Linked DNA regions of Drosophila melanogaster. The protein of the gene in region 1 purifies or fractionates together with the protein of each later gene. This does not show direct contact. Each region holds a gene or a part of one and is shown on either strand. Other genes may lie near its edges.

Region 1 (8,113 bases):
GATTGTTCGGCCACTGAATTCCCGGATATGGCGTTTTTGGTGGGCGTAACTCAACAATTTCCGAGCATATTTCCTATTTAAATGCAACCGAATAGCCATTTGATTGCGAGTTACGTGAGGATTTTTCAAGAGTGGGACCAACTGGGTAATCTTCAATAGCGGCTTAAAAACAGAACTATATTTATTTATTGGCAATAGATCTTCAGACTTTCTTGTATTGGTGAAAATACTCGTATACTGTCAGTAGGAAATGAAAAAAAAGTAACAATGAAACTGCATAATCCCTGATATTGAAATTGGCGACAATTTAGTAACATTTATGATGCATCATGTCAATACTTACAATACTTACAAGGGCAGAGTTTGCATAATTATTTAAAAAAAATTATGTTATAATGACATACATTCTTACCATAGATTAAGACCAAGCGTTTTCTTTGAACATCTTTTTTTTCTATTAATAGCTTTGAACGATTCAGGTGATATCGAGCTATAATTGCAGTTTAATGCTACAATTTTTTAAATCATCGCATTGCCTTTTGATCAGATTGATTAAACTAGATAAGTCTTGGCAGACTTTCAATTTGTAGCTTTAAGTCATTACGTAAAGGAAGTCTGCATCAATTTGTAAAAATAAGCAACTTTAATTTTAGCTTGAGCTGAATTGAATTCGTTATTCAATTATCCTTAAACAGGAACTACAAGTACGATTTTTTCATCCTTGAAGGATTAGCAAAAAACAAAAATCCAATACAACAAAGGTTGCGTAAGGATGTAGCCACTTGAGCGCTGCTCCCAAAAACAAAGGACCCGCAAGGATGTTCAAGTTTGTGTTGCTTGTATCAGAAGTTAATTTACCGAGAATCAAACTTAAATGCGGAAAGAGGATCTGAGGCAATGTGCCGCCAATATTCACCCCTGTTGCGAGGTCGAGCGCGACCTATGGCTTATGTAACCTGATCGGTGACACACTTCAGCTTTGATTCCAGGGAATTATGCTAACACAAAAAAGGAGGCAAGGAGACGTTCATGTAGACAGCGCAGAAGGATTTGCCAGACAAACTGACACAAAATGTTGTAATTGCCCCAAGGAAAAGCACCCTCCTTCAGCTTAAACCGCAAAGTGGCTGGCAATTCGATGCCCCAGACGTAGTAGCATTTTTATTATTATAAAAATTAGGCTCAGTCCGTCGGACGGGGCACGTGCAACAATGGGAAATTAGGCAGACTAAATGATGGCTCAAAAATATGATCTGCCCTCATAGTTGGCCATGGGAATCTCTGCTCGCAAATCCGCTGATTTCCACCTAGCGAGAAAAATCAATAAAAAACGCAAGGTAGACACGCCACCGAGCAGACTCAAAAAGAACTGAACAAAATATATGTCCTCACAAAGGCCCTTTGGCACGTTCATGTCAGCGGGTTAACAATGGATGACACCGAAGAGTAGTCCATGGAGGAGGAGGTGGATGTGGAGGCGGAGCAGCCAGTTAAGAGCTTTCGGCCAGGTGAGAGAAGTGCTCATCTCTGGCTGGGATACCTTTTTCCAGCTTTCCACTTCTATGGAGCTCTAAACTATATGTAACTATAGTCTCGAGATATTTTATTCTATTAATATTCTTTCTCTAAGATAAATATCAGTTTTTATTTCTCATATATGTAATAATAAATATATTTATAATAAATAATAAATAATAATAATAAATATATTTATTATTAAGGTATACAACCCTTAAATTAAAATTTAATTTAGATGGGATTTCATAAAATAGATTTATAGAAAATGAAAAGAATATTATAAAATAGATATTAAAAGAAAAACGTTGTCTTTTTAGGAACTATGAATCTTATATCTTTTTAATTTAATAATTTTAAAATTGGTAGAGCACTTCTGAAATTAGGTTATCACTTTTAAGTACTATTATTCTAATATCTTTTAAATACAATTAAATATTTTTATTCGTTAACACAAACCCCATAACCCCCCAATGTCCTTAGAGAAGCTGAGATATTTTTGCCCAGGAACAGGGCAGCACATCCCCAAGCAGACCCAACCATCACCGCGATCACTCGAATGCCATCCTAATGCGCCCATTTTAGGGCTTTAACCTAATAATGACGTTCGACTTAGTTTGCGTGACTTATTTTATTAATAAAACGAGCAAATTTGTCTTGCTTTTTGGTCGCATCGTCGTCATATGCTTTTTCTCTCTCGGCGATGTCTCGTTATTGTCCTTCCTTCCTGCTCTGTTTGTGGAGACCCCCCCCCCCCATATTTCCCTCTCTCTGAAGGAATTAAGGACTTTCCGCTGTGAGGAAAGACTGATTCTCAAAGCAACAGGACGAAACAGGACGAGTATAGTTGCGAAAGCAACCCCTCGGCGAGCTCTTCGCCGATTGGTGGCTTGCTGGAAAGGAGGCACGCCCCCTTTTTCGATGGTGTCACTTGGTTGGGTGCGGAGGGGGCCGGGTGTCCTTGGTGGGTGGTGTACGGCTATGTGGGGCTCTGATTCAATTAACCGCGCGGGGAAAAAATATCTGAATGCAAAGCAGGCGAATGCTTGGCCCCAACCCAGCGGGTACAGTTGCGCTGGCTCCACCTAGCAATTATCCTGTCACAGCAGCAGAATCGATTGTTTAATTCAATTATAATAATTGTGGCATTTAATGCACGCACATCATCAGCCAGACAGCCAACAATGGCGGCCGTGACACGTTAATTATGACAAGTGGGTGCCAAATGGGCGGCTGGGGACGTGGCAGGATGTGCCTGCCTCGCAAAATGGCGGCAGAGCAAGGACGCATAGTTGTGCAACTTATTTGCGGCTAACGGGGGTCAATTAAACTAAGGTTTTTCCGCACTAATCGCATGTCCAGTGGATGCCAGCAGAGAGATGGGTGCTCAAAATCCTGCCAGAGCAGGACAACCCTATGCGCATGCAAATCGAGGGGTGTGTTCATGTGCCCGCTTACGGGGATTCCCCGAATATTGCCGCTCTAAGCGGGCACCGCAAAGCGGGCCAACTGCAGCCGGATTGAGGAGGGGGTGGCACTGCCTGCGCTCGCATTTTTTCCCCCCCTTCGATTTTCCCCTTTTCGCAGGATGCAGGACCATATCGCCGGCTCGCTCGCACATGTCTGCTGGCAGCTCGTTTAGAGCAATTTGCTGGTTGATGTGCGGTGATTGCCGCAAACTCAACGCGACCGTCAACGAGCAAACAACATAAGCGCGCGCGCGGTCCAAGGACACGTATATATCCCGGCTGGCTGGCACATCTCCTGGCTCCGGTCTCCATCACTGCTCCTCGTGCTCCTCCTGCTCGGCCATCCTCCAGCGCAATGGCAATGCTTAATGAGGCCAGCTTGAGTCCTGCGGACGCACATGCTCATGCCAACGCCACCACGCCCACGCACAGCAAGGCGGCGGCGATGGCCAGTGCCACCACAATGCTGACCACAAAAACGCCGTTTTCCATCGAGCACATATTGTTTCAAAACTTAAATAGTGCCAGCAATAACAATAATAGTAGTGATACCAACGGCATCGCCGCAAACACCAACAACTACGCGCCAAAGAGCAGCAGAAACGCGGTGAAAAGTGCCAGAAGCGCATTTGCCCACGACAATAATCCGCACAAACATCCGTCGCAACATTCGCATCCGCCGCAGTCACATCCGCCGGCGTCCGCATCCGCATCCGCGACGGCTACTGCCCGCAGCAACCAGGCTGCGTCGGGTTACGCTGGCGAGGATTACGGCAAGTCCATGCACAGCACTCCACGGTTGGTTTCCGAATTCCAAGGCCTAATACTACTGCAGTGAAATTTTAGTTTAAAAAACTTTAATTTTAAGCCAATATAATTGCATAGAAAAGTGAAAAAAAGTAATTAAAATAAAAAAAAAATAAATAAAAAATAAGATAATATTAACAAAGTGAATTTATAAAAGAATAAGAAGTAAACATGAAACATCAAATACGATAGATAGTCACACCTTCTTGAAGACAAATATTTTGGAATAGCATACACCTTTAAAATCTTACTTTGGATTATGTTCTTTTAAATTATAGAATATTTTTTGTAAGAAAAATGATATTTTGGAAACATAGAAATCAGGCTTACCATAAAGCTTAATGTATCTGGGAATATATATTTGTATTTAAGCATATTAGCATAAAAATCACTATTGGACATAAAGAGAATAGTTTAACATCGAAATACCAATAGACCCCTAATTGAACCACTTGCTTCGTAGGTCCAACCACCACTCGCGACACGGAACTTCCCACTACAACGGAGATCAGATTTCGCAGCAGTTGGGATCTGGAGCAGCACAACATCCGCCGGTGCCCACGACTCAACCTCAACCTCCGCCTCCGCCGCCCCTGAATGGAGGTAGTGGTGCATCCAATGGAGTACTCTATCCGAATGCACCCTACACCGATCACGGATTTCTTCAAATGACCCTCGGATATCTCTCGCCGTCGTCGGGCACCTACAAGTCCGTGGATCCCTATTTTCTATCACAAGGTGAGTTAATGCTCGATATTACAGAGATATCCTCCTAGATGATTCTGATTTGTACTGGTACATACAAACATGTTGGTAATAAGTTAAAGTCGAACTCATAGAAATTAAAAGTCAATTCTAGCTAGAGTTTAGCTAATCGAAAATGAAGTTGGACATATTCTCATTAAAAAGCCAGCACAACATTTAATTTCACATTTAGAACTTTTTCAAAATGAAACCCAAATTAGTAGGACAACTGATGTTGAAGTGCAGTTTTTTGTTGCCACATAGCTTCATTTAGGGGCACTAAAACTCGAAATATTCGGTGTAAATGGCCATCAACACCGAAAGTTTTCATTTGTTCCAACTATAACGAAGTTAACCAAATTTTGCATCCTTTGCCCTTTCAGCCAGCCTGTTCGGGGGAGCGCCCTTCTTCGGAGCGCCTGGCTGTGTGCCGGAACTGGCCCTCGGACTGGGAATGGGCGTGAATGCCCTGCGCCACTGCCGCCGGAGGAAGGCTCGCACGGTGTTCAGTGATCCGCAGCTGTCCGGTCTGGAAAAGCGGTTCGAGGGACAGCGATACCTGTCCACGCCGGAGCGTGTGGAGCTGGCCACCGCCTTGGGACTCAGCGAGACGCAGGTGAAGACCTGGTTCCAGAACCGCCGCATGAAGCACAAAAAGCAGCTGCGCCGGCGCGACAATGCCAATGGTGAGTATATTGATTTCATAATCACAAATTTATTATGAGCAAATTAAATATTACGAAATTTATAATACTCAAATCAAGTTATTTAATATTCAAACCTTTTCTGGGCTGTTAAGAACAACTAGAGCGAAAAAGAGTTGCTCAAGTTTTCCAGCTTTTAGACAATGCAATATTTGAGTTAGCAATTAAATTGTCAAAAGGCATTTCGAGCAGGAGTGGTCAGCGGTTTTCAAATTGGTCACAAAGCACCAAAAACTAGACCACTGGAGTGAGTAGTTTCTTTGAGGAACTTTTGGACTATCAATTAGACCTTTTGGCTTTTAGCCGGCTCCTTGTGATGCAAAAAGTTTTGCTCAAGTTTCAACGCAAATCAAATTAGTTCTAAATTTTGTGGAAATTTCTTTGACTCTTCCATGCCGCAGAGCCCGTCGACTTCTCACGCAGCGAACCGGGCAAGCAGCCGGGCGAGGCCACCTCCTCATCCGGGGACTCCAAGCACGGCAAACTGAATCCCGGATCTGTCGGCGGCACACCCACTCAGCCGACGAGCGAGCAGCAGCTGCAGATGTGCCTGATGCAGCAGGGTTACTCCACGGATGACTACTCCGATCTGGAGGCGGACAGTGGCGACGAGGACAACTCCAGCGACGTGGACATCGTCGGCGATGCGAAACTCTACCAGTTAACATAGACAGTTCGATCGGGATGTGGACCTGGATCCTAAAGTAGTAAAGTTTTCGGTGTTTCAGTTGGGGGAAATACAACTAAAAGAGATTTTCAAATCAAAAAATATCAGTTTCTTTTACTAAATGACTTTTCTATTAGACAAGCACAGAAGTTACAAAACAACACATATATTATCAGCGCGAGCATGGTTATACCATTTTGAAAATATCTATTATTACGATTTAGTACGAACTATAGTTCCTTATAATTGTGGAAACTTACCCATCAGTTTCACCATTGAATTAATTGATTGATTATAACAGATACCATCCAGCTACTCTAGCTGTTTTGATCTTGTCCAAAAGAAACATATTTATTTTGCTATAATTATAGTTGTATTTCCCCCCAGATACATATTTGAATTGAATCGAAAAGCCGTGTAAATACCAACGAGTTCTTGAACGAGTTTTCTAGTCATGTATTAAGTCTAATAACTAATCAAATTTAGTGATTGTATTCGAGAACTTCCATTTTAAGATACATTAGTTCCCTGCGACTTCTTATCCAGAACATAGTGCTTACAATAAACGGAACGGAGCGAATTACGCGAATGCTGGAGAAGTGTTACTGGGTGGGTGGGTGGTGTAGCTTGATGCCCGCCCCCTCGCCGGGCAATCAAATCCAATTGACAACACAAAGTAGCAACTAATATGGTTAAGCAGCGGGAATACTGATGTATGGGGTTGGCGACTGCCACGCCCTGCGCATGTCCTGCCGCCCAAGTGGGCGGGCGGAAGCGGGTGGGATTGGATTGAATCGGGGTGGATGGAAATGCACTTAACAATGGCAAAATAATTGCGGGTTTTCAGACAGCCATTTTAGTGAGACACCCATTGTCAAGTGCGGAATAGAGTGAGGAGGTAAAAGTTAAATGTTTCAAATTGATTGGTAATTACGGGTTAGCAGGAATGCTCTCGAAAAAATATTAATAGTTTACCCGATTAAGAATGAGTCTTGGAGGGAATGGAGTTCCATATGCTTATATACATGTAGATACCTTTGCAGTCATCAAAACTCATGGATCTATTTGTTGAGAGAAGTTATCATTTTTAGTTTCATACTTTGGACTGTTAAGACTTTTCTTGACGTCAACGAAGCATATTCCAATTCTATTCTGGCGATTAAATGGCATATGTACATATGCTTGTTAATAATATGTATTTTTTTATATAAATTTCGAGTGTGTATTGAGTTATGCTCAACTTGGTAAACATGCGAATTAATAATATTCGGAATAATATACAACCTAAGGTCGAAGCAATGACAAGTCGCAGTCGCTTTAGCCACTTGTATTTTCCCAGTGAATACAGAAACTAATAAGTAGTACTCTTGGGCTTATCTTGCTATTGATAAGCTCAATGTGAAATAAACTGCTAGAGACGAGCCTCCCTCGATTTTAAGAGGTTGGCAATAAAAATCACAATAAATGTTTTGATTTTAGACTCTTAGTTAGTATAACTCGTATTCTCATGGACCATTTCACATCATACTTATTGTTTAAAATGTTCTCACAGTGAAGCATTTAACGATGGCATTTTCATCGGTAAGCCTGACCACTCTCCTCCGCTCTTCATATGTGGCTCCCTCTTAGTTTTGGAGCCATATGTCTGCAGCTTATGCTCCCCATCTGGACTTGGACTCTCTTCCACTCCGCTCTCTCTTCTATATACATTTTCCGTGTGTATGCTATTTACGTGCTATCAGTTGCCGTTGAAAACAAAACAAAATGTAGGAGAAGGGATGAGAAAGCCGACCATTCTATTCACTAACTTTTATTGCCGATAACTTAAATAATAGTTCAGTTAGATCATACGAATGATAAACAAATGGAAATACTGAATTTTTATAAAACATTAAAAGAATCTTCTTATATTATATATCAAGTATATTCTTCTATAATACTTTATGATTTCTTCAACTTTAATTAATAATCTATAATAGCTTAGTTATACTCTTATTAGGAATATACATCCCTAATTTTATTTATAAATGTTTAGGTAACAGTGAATATATGTACAGTACCATATACGATCCTCATTAGGATCATCAGATATTATTATTCCTTATTTCCCATTGTTATGCTCCAAGCAACTGAACCAAGTGCATATACCCTCTGATAGGGCGTGGCCGGCAGTGACGTTTCGCTGGCTTTTCTCCACCGTCGTCGTG
Region 2 (5,655 bases), 6.4 Mb from region 1:
ATCATCAAAGGATGGTTCTTATGCAATTTGCAATCACAATTTAAATAGATAAAGTATAAGCAATTGCATTAACATATTAATATATAGCATTAATCGAATCCTTGTGGTGTGAATTAAATGCCAGTCATAAAAAATTCGAATTTTAAGAAAATTTAATTGTGACTATATGAATGCTTCCATGCCAATAATACAGTTCCATATATTAAATATAATTCAGAGAATTAAACATATTAAATTAGTCTAACCACAGTAACTTTAAGCATTGATAAGTGTCACTAAAATGGCATTTAACATTTGAGTATTATTTCTGCAACTTTTTAAACTCATTCTCAGTTTTTTGTCTCAATTGAGTGTTTTGATTGAGTGGGTGTTTTTAACTCTCTTAGCTGCATATTCCTCCCTTAAATGCAGTTTTTTTTAGCTCAACTACCAATTGAGTGAATGTTAACGGAATGTTAACTGCAATCTCAAGACTCAAGCGCAGTTCTGAGTGAGTCAAATATGTGGCTTTGAGTGGAACAGACTAAGCTCATAAGAGTCATGAGCAGTATTTTGACGATTCTTTTGCCCAACCATGATATAAAATAATAATGACATATTTATTTTCAAAATGTTGGTATAATAATAAGCTATTAACTATCAAATAGCTATTGATATACATTCGTTTTCCCCATTCTCTGCTCGAAAAAATATAGTTTTGAAATTTGAAAGCTGGAATTGTTAGCCCATCAAAATGCTAAATTACTTAGTTCTTTCTGTACCTGGTAATTAAATAAACTTTGTGATTCGTATTTGATTTTACATATACTACGTTTGCTTTTATTTCAACTCAGATCAGAGGATAGCTTGAACATAAAATGGCCTACAAGCAATAGTATTTTAAGTCGTAATTGTAACTACTAAAAGATTAGGGGATTACATTTAGTACATGTCTTATACGGATTTTATTTGAGTAGAAATTAGTCAAGGCAACACGGAACTATCGTAAATTTCAACTATTCTAGAAAATTGAAATATTTAAGCATAGTAACGGTGCTCTCGAAACTAAACAAAAGGGCTTTAACATTGTAAAATAGAAAAATATAGCATGGAAACTTTCGTGTGTATAGACGTATTATAAAACCAGCATAAGACATGCCTATTGTGGATGTGTTATCTTATACTGCCTTATAAGGAAGTAGTATGATGCGAAGCGCTCCCCCTTCTTCATCGTCCCTCAGAGCACTAAGTCCAAATTAATCTTCCTCATCCTGTCCCAATCCCAGTCGCTGCCACTAGACGCTTTGTCACAGAGTGTCGTTGAACAAGCGCTTGGCCTTGTAGCTCGGATGAATCGGTCCCGGTATCCAGTGTGGCTTAAGGGCACTCTTACCGGGCAACCGATTCGCGTCGTAGGGCACCTGCGGAGACAGCTTCAGCTGGCGGTAGTAATCGCTCTTGGGGTAGATGCAGTTGCTCTTAGTCACGATCCGCACATGCTTGCCACTGCCCGTTTGTGGAGTCGCAAACTCTGCGCGCGCAGGCTGTTTGGGTGTGGACTGCGGCAGCTTACTGTTGGCCTGCTTCACTTGCAGTTTTCGAGAGGGAACAAAGATGTCCTGCTCACCGTCCTCTAAAGGGGCATCCCATCCGTTGGTCGGAGCATCATCATCAACACCGGCAGCCTTCGTTTTGGGAGTCGGCTTGGCCTTGGACTGTCCCTCCACCTTAGGTGTGGGCTTGGGCTGCTCGTCTGTCTTCGGCTTCGACTGCTCCTCCTTCGTCTTGGAGTGGTCCAATTTCTTGCGCTTCGCAGGCTCTTCTTTTTCTGCCTTCAAGGTCGGTTGATCCTCTATCTTGGGCTTGGACTGGTCATTCTTCGGCTTAAGCTGGCTTTTCTTCTTCACCTTCGTCTGGTCATCTTTGTTCTGCTGTGGCGGTTCTTCCTTTTTTGCTTTCTTCGACTTGGGCTCGGCCTCCTTGACCTCCTCTACTACCCATGCGTTGTTTATGCTAGAACGCACCTTTGCATTGTAATTCACCTTCTTCTGCAGCTCAGGAGGCAGAGCCTTGCTAATAACCTCATCGTAGTTGTGCTCGTCCACCTCCTCAAAGTTAATGGACTGCAGTAGGCGTTTGCGTTTGGATTTGTTGAGCTTCTTCAGTTTTCTTCCGGTTGCAAAGACCTCGTCCTCCATCTTATCTAAGGCAGCCACTTTTTGCTCCACCATTTCGGACAGAGTTTGTCCCTCCACCTTTGGCATTGTCCTCACGCCAAGTGGAAACTCTCCTCTCTGGTAAGTCTCAAAGATCTGGATAAGTTTGCGCAATCCCTTGCGTCTCTTGCTGTTAAAATCGTTGGTGCGTAGCTGCGTCTGCAGCTCATCTAGTACGCAATCAGCGTTGAGCGGCAGCTCCGGCATGTGAACGTCCACGTTGCCCGCTCGGGGATCCAAGGATGTGGCCCGCGGCTGCTCCTCCTCGGCGTTGACCTCGTCATCCTCCTCGTCAAATCCAGAATCTAGTTTCTCAATGTCATCAATGGAGGCGGTGGGGAAACCCATCTGCTTCCAGGCATTGTACTTTTCGCTGTACTGTCGTCCTAAGTCGCTCTGGTACATCAGATGATAGAGTACCCTTGTGCGGCACTGTGCCACTAGCTTAGCATCGCGTTGTGTAGCAATGTAGGTGACAAACGGACGCAAGAACATATTAACCTGAGCAGCAGTGATCTCACCATTGGCCGCCTTGGCCAGCTCCTCAAAGAAAACATCTAGGTAGTGCATGGTCATGCCGCGAGACTTAGGCTGCTCCGACATCACAGAAAGCTGCATGCTGCTGTTGAATGCGGCTATCAGGTCCGCATTCCAGTTGTTCTGTTTGAGGAATCTCAGTAGATAACGCACCATGCGGCGGGTGAGCATCAGGAATTTGTCCATGCGCCACTGATCTATGCCAAAGTACTCCTGGCACATTGTGCGCATAAACGCACTAAAGTAGGCCAGACTGCAGGCCGTATTACCGCCGAAGCTGTCCACCATTTGAGCCAACTTCTCGGCCAGCTCCTCCTGCACCAGCGGCTTATCCGACATCCACATGGTGTAGTACAATCCCTTCCAGATGCGCATGAAGTCGTCCTCGTTGAAGGGAAAGGAGCTACCGGCACGCGCCTTGAACCACTTGCGCAAAATGCGGATCTGGCGATTACGCTCCACCACATCGTTGCAGGCAAGAGCACGTATAATTTTCACCTCCTGGGCGACCACCATCAGCTCCTTGGCCACCTTCGGCTGTGAAGCGTCCTCCTCCTGCTCGACCTGGATTTCGGCCGCCTCGGCGTTGCGCTTAACTGGCTTCTTGCGCGTCACCATTATCCGGCTAATTCAACTTTTAGTTGCGAAAAATAAGTGAGCTGTGTATATTGAATACGGTACGGCACGACCGCACGTGTTGCCGTTCGATGTTGCCAGATGTTGAAACGACATTTTCTCCAAATTTCGTCCAACAGCTCTAAATGCATGAGCTGTACTGAAAATGACAACAAAAACTCAAGCTAATGAAATAATTTTCAAAGAATAAAATAAAGAAAAAAAGAATAATAAAAAGAATATTTAAATTGCTAGTTTTGATACTTCATGAAACGCTTGCTTTATACATTTTAATACAATTTTATATATTTTTAGCCATTTATAGGTTGTTATTTTATAGCTACCAGCGCTGACTTCTTTACGGAAAGTGGCAACTCTCTTCCACAGCTGATAATTCGGTCTGCTTTTTGTAAATTTTGCTTGTCCAGCAAATTTAGTTAAATAATTCAAAGAAATCATGCCCGTGGTGAACGTGTCGGCTGCCGAGGAGTACCAGAAGTACATTAATGCGGATAAGACGACCGTAGCTCTATTCGCCGCCGAATGGGCAGAGCAATGCGGTCAGGTGAAAGACGCGCTGGAGGAGCTGGCCAAGATTACTGGCGAAAAACTGCAGTTCATCAGCCTAAACGCTGAACAATTTCCCGAGATTTCCATGAAACATCAGGTACGCTCGTATTTATTTTATGAAAATATAACAGTAGTTCCTCATTCATTTGCGATGCCACCAGATCGAGGCCGTGCCCACAGTCATATTCTTCGCCAAGGGCTCCGCCGTTGACCGTGTCGATGGTGTAGACATCGCCGCCATAAGCGCCAAATCCAAAAAGTTGGCCGAAAACGCAAGCAGCGCGGCGGCAACAGGACAAACGTTGGAGGAACGCCTAAAGGCCCTAATCAATACAGCTCCGCTGATGATATTCATGAAGGGCGACCGAAATGGACCGCGTTGCGGATTCTCCAAGCAGCTCATCGGCATTGTGAACGAAACCAAGTATGCAAATTGATCATCAGTTGTATTTGATTTCAAGTTATAAACGAAAATATCCTTCGATAGCTTGCCGTACGAGACATTTGACATCCTCGGCGACGAAGAAGTGCGTCAAGGCCTGAAAACCTACTCCGACTGGCCCACATATCCCCAGGTTTACGTCAAGGGTGAACTTATCGGCGGACTCGATATTATTAAGGAACTGCTGGCGAACAATGAGCTCGAGTCCACGCTAAAGGGCTAATTCCATCGGATTGCATCTACTCCTACAGACACCATAAACCAGAAACAAATTTTTAGCTAGATCCTTAGACTTTTTAATGGTTTAATAAAGGATTTTTGCTACATTCTGGTATTATTTTATTCATCGAAATTTTTAATAACAATTGTATTAAAGCAAATGTGCTATAGGTCATCCATAAGACATCTTACACGGGCTTCAATGGTGTCACCATAAATGTTTACAAACTTAACGACATAAATATAGCTAGAAATTTGTAAGAACTTTTTTATACACCAGCCCTGGTTTATCTGGTATTTTGCGTACCTTCATTTTGTAAACAGCTGTTTCGGCGTCGGCATCTTGCACATTATTTTCGCAATATTATTTATATTATTGAAAATACCCATTAACTATAAACTTATATCCAAATCTTTAAATGGCTGAGGGTAATACCGCTGGCGGAGAGGACCAAAAGCTGACGGACATCTTTCTAAAGGGCTGGAACATATTCGACGAGCTAGAAGTTACCGAACTGCCCTTCAATGGCAGCGAATTTCAGGTGTGTAATATTGAAGATCTTCATATATATGTAATAAAAACCAGCATTGAACGTTTACCACAACGTTTAGAACAAAGTGAAGACTGCAATGGGCCTTTTCGAGCAGGCCACCGTCATTGTGAACCAGGTTAGCATGTTCAGTGCCAACGAGTTGATCGACGAGGTGTCCACGGAATCGCTACCATTCATGCTGCTCCCTTACTTTCTGGGCAAGCTTACCACTAAGATCAACAGCCCCAATAACACACACTCCATAGAGCTGGGCGAGATTTACTTCAAGGACCACCTGCAGCGTTGCCAGGAGTATGATCTCTGTGCAGCGCCCAAATCTCAGGTGGCTAAGGCGGATAGCCAAGCGGAAAAAAGCGAGCAGCGCGAGCTGGTAGAGGCAGCCTTCAATAGAAACGACAAAATAGCCCAGTATCGCCGGATGAAGGAGATTGACGAGTATATGGCCAGAATGCGCGATGCAGTCAAGAACAAAACGGTCGACGATGAGGATAAACGTGTCTTTTTCCTCAAGTATTTGGACAAG

The links.
Region 2: the proteins of bsh (region 1) and Grx3 purify together in Drosophila melanogaster (affinity purification with mass spectrometry, with the first as the bait; one large-scale study listed by BioGRID). This does not show direct contact.

What each region holds. Positions count from the first base shown.
Region 1 is NT_033779.5:19,764,156-19,772,268, reverse strand, and holds bsh (brain-specific homeobox), read left to right. Parts: upstream 1-3,201; 5' UTR 3,202-3,339; coding exon 3,340-3,782; intron 3,783-4,254; coding exon 4,255-4,529; intron 4,530-4,918; coding exon 4,919-5,221; intron 5,222-5,640; coding exon 5,641-5,909; 3' UTR 5,910-6,493; downstream 6,494-8,113. UniProt on the Drosophila melanogaster protein: DNA binding protein that function as transcriptional activator. May play a role in the determination and function of cell types in the brain.
Region 2 is NT_033779.5:13,362,727-13,368,381, forward strand, and holds Grx3 (glutaredoxin 3), read left to right. Parts: upstream 1-3,720; 5' UTR 3,721-3,804; coding exon 3,805-4,014; intron 4,015-4,078; coding exon 4,079-4,341; intron 4,342-4,404; coding exon 4,405-4,582; 3' UTR 4,583-4,684; downstream 4,685-5,655. Other genes in the region: Nnp-1, read right to left, coding at 1,287-3,350; Tap42 (Two A-associated protein of 42kDa), read left to right, coding at 4,998-5,120, 5,191-5,655.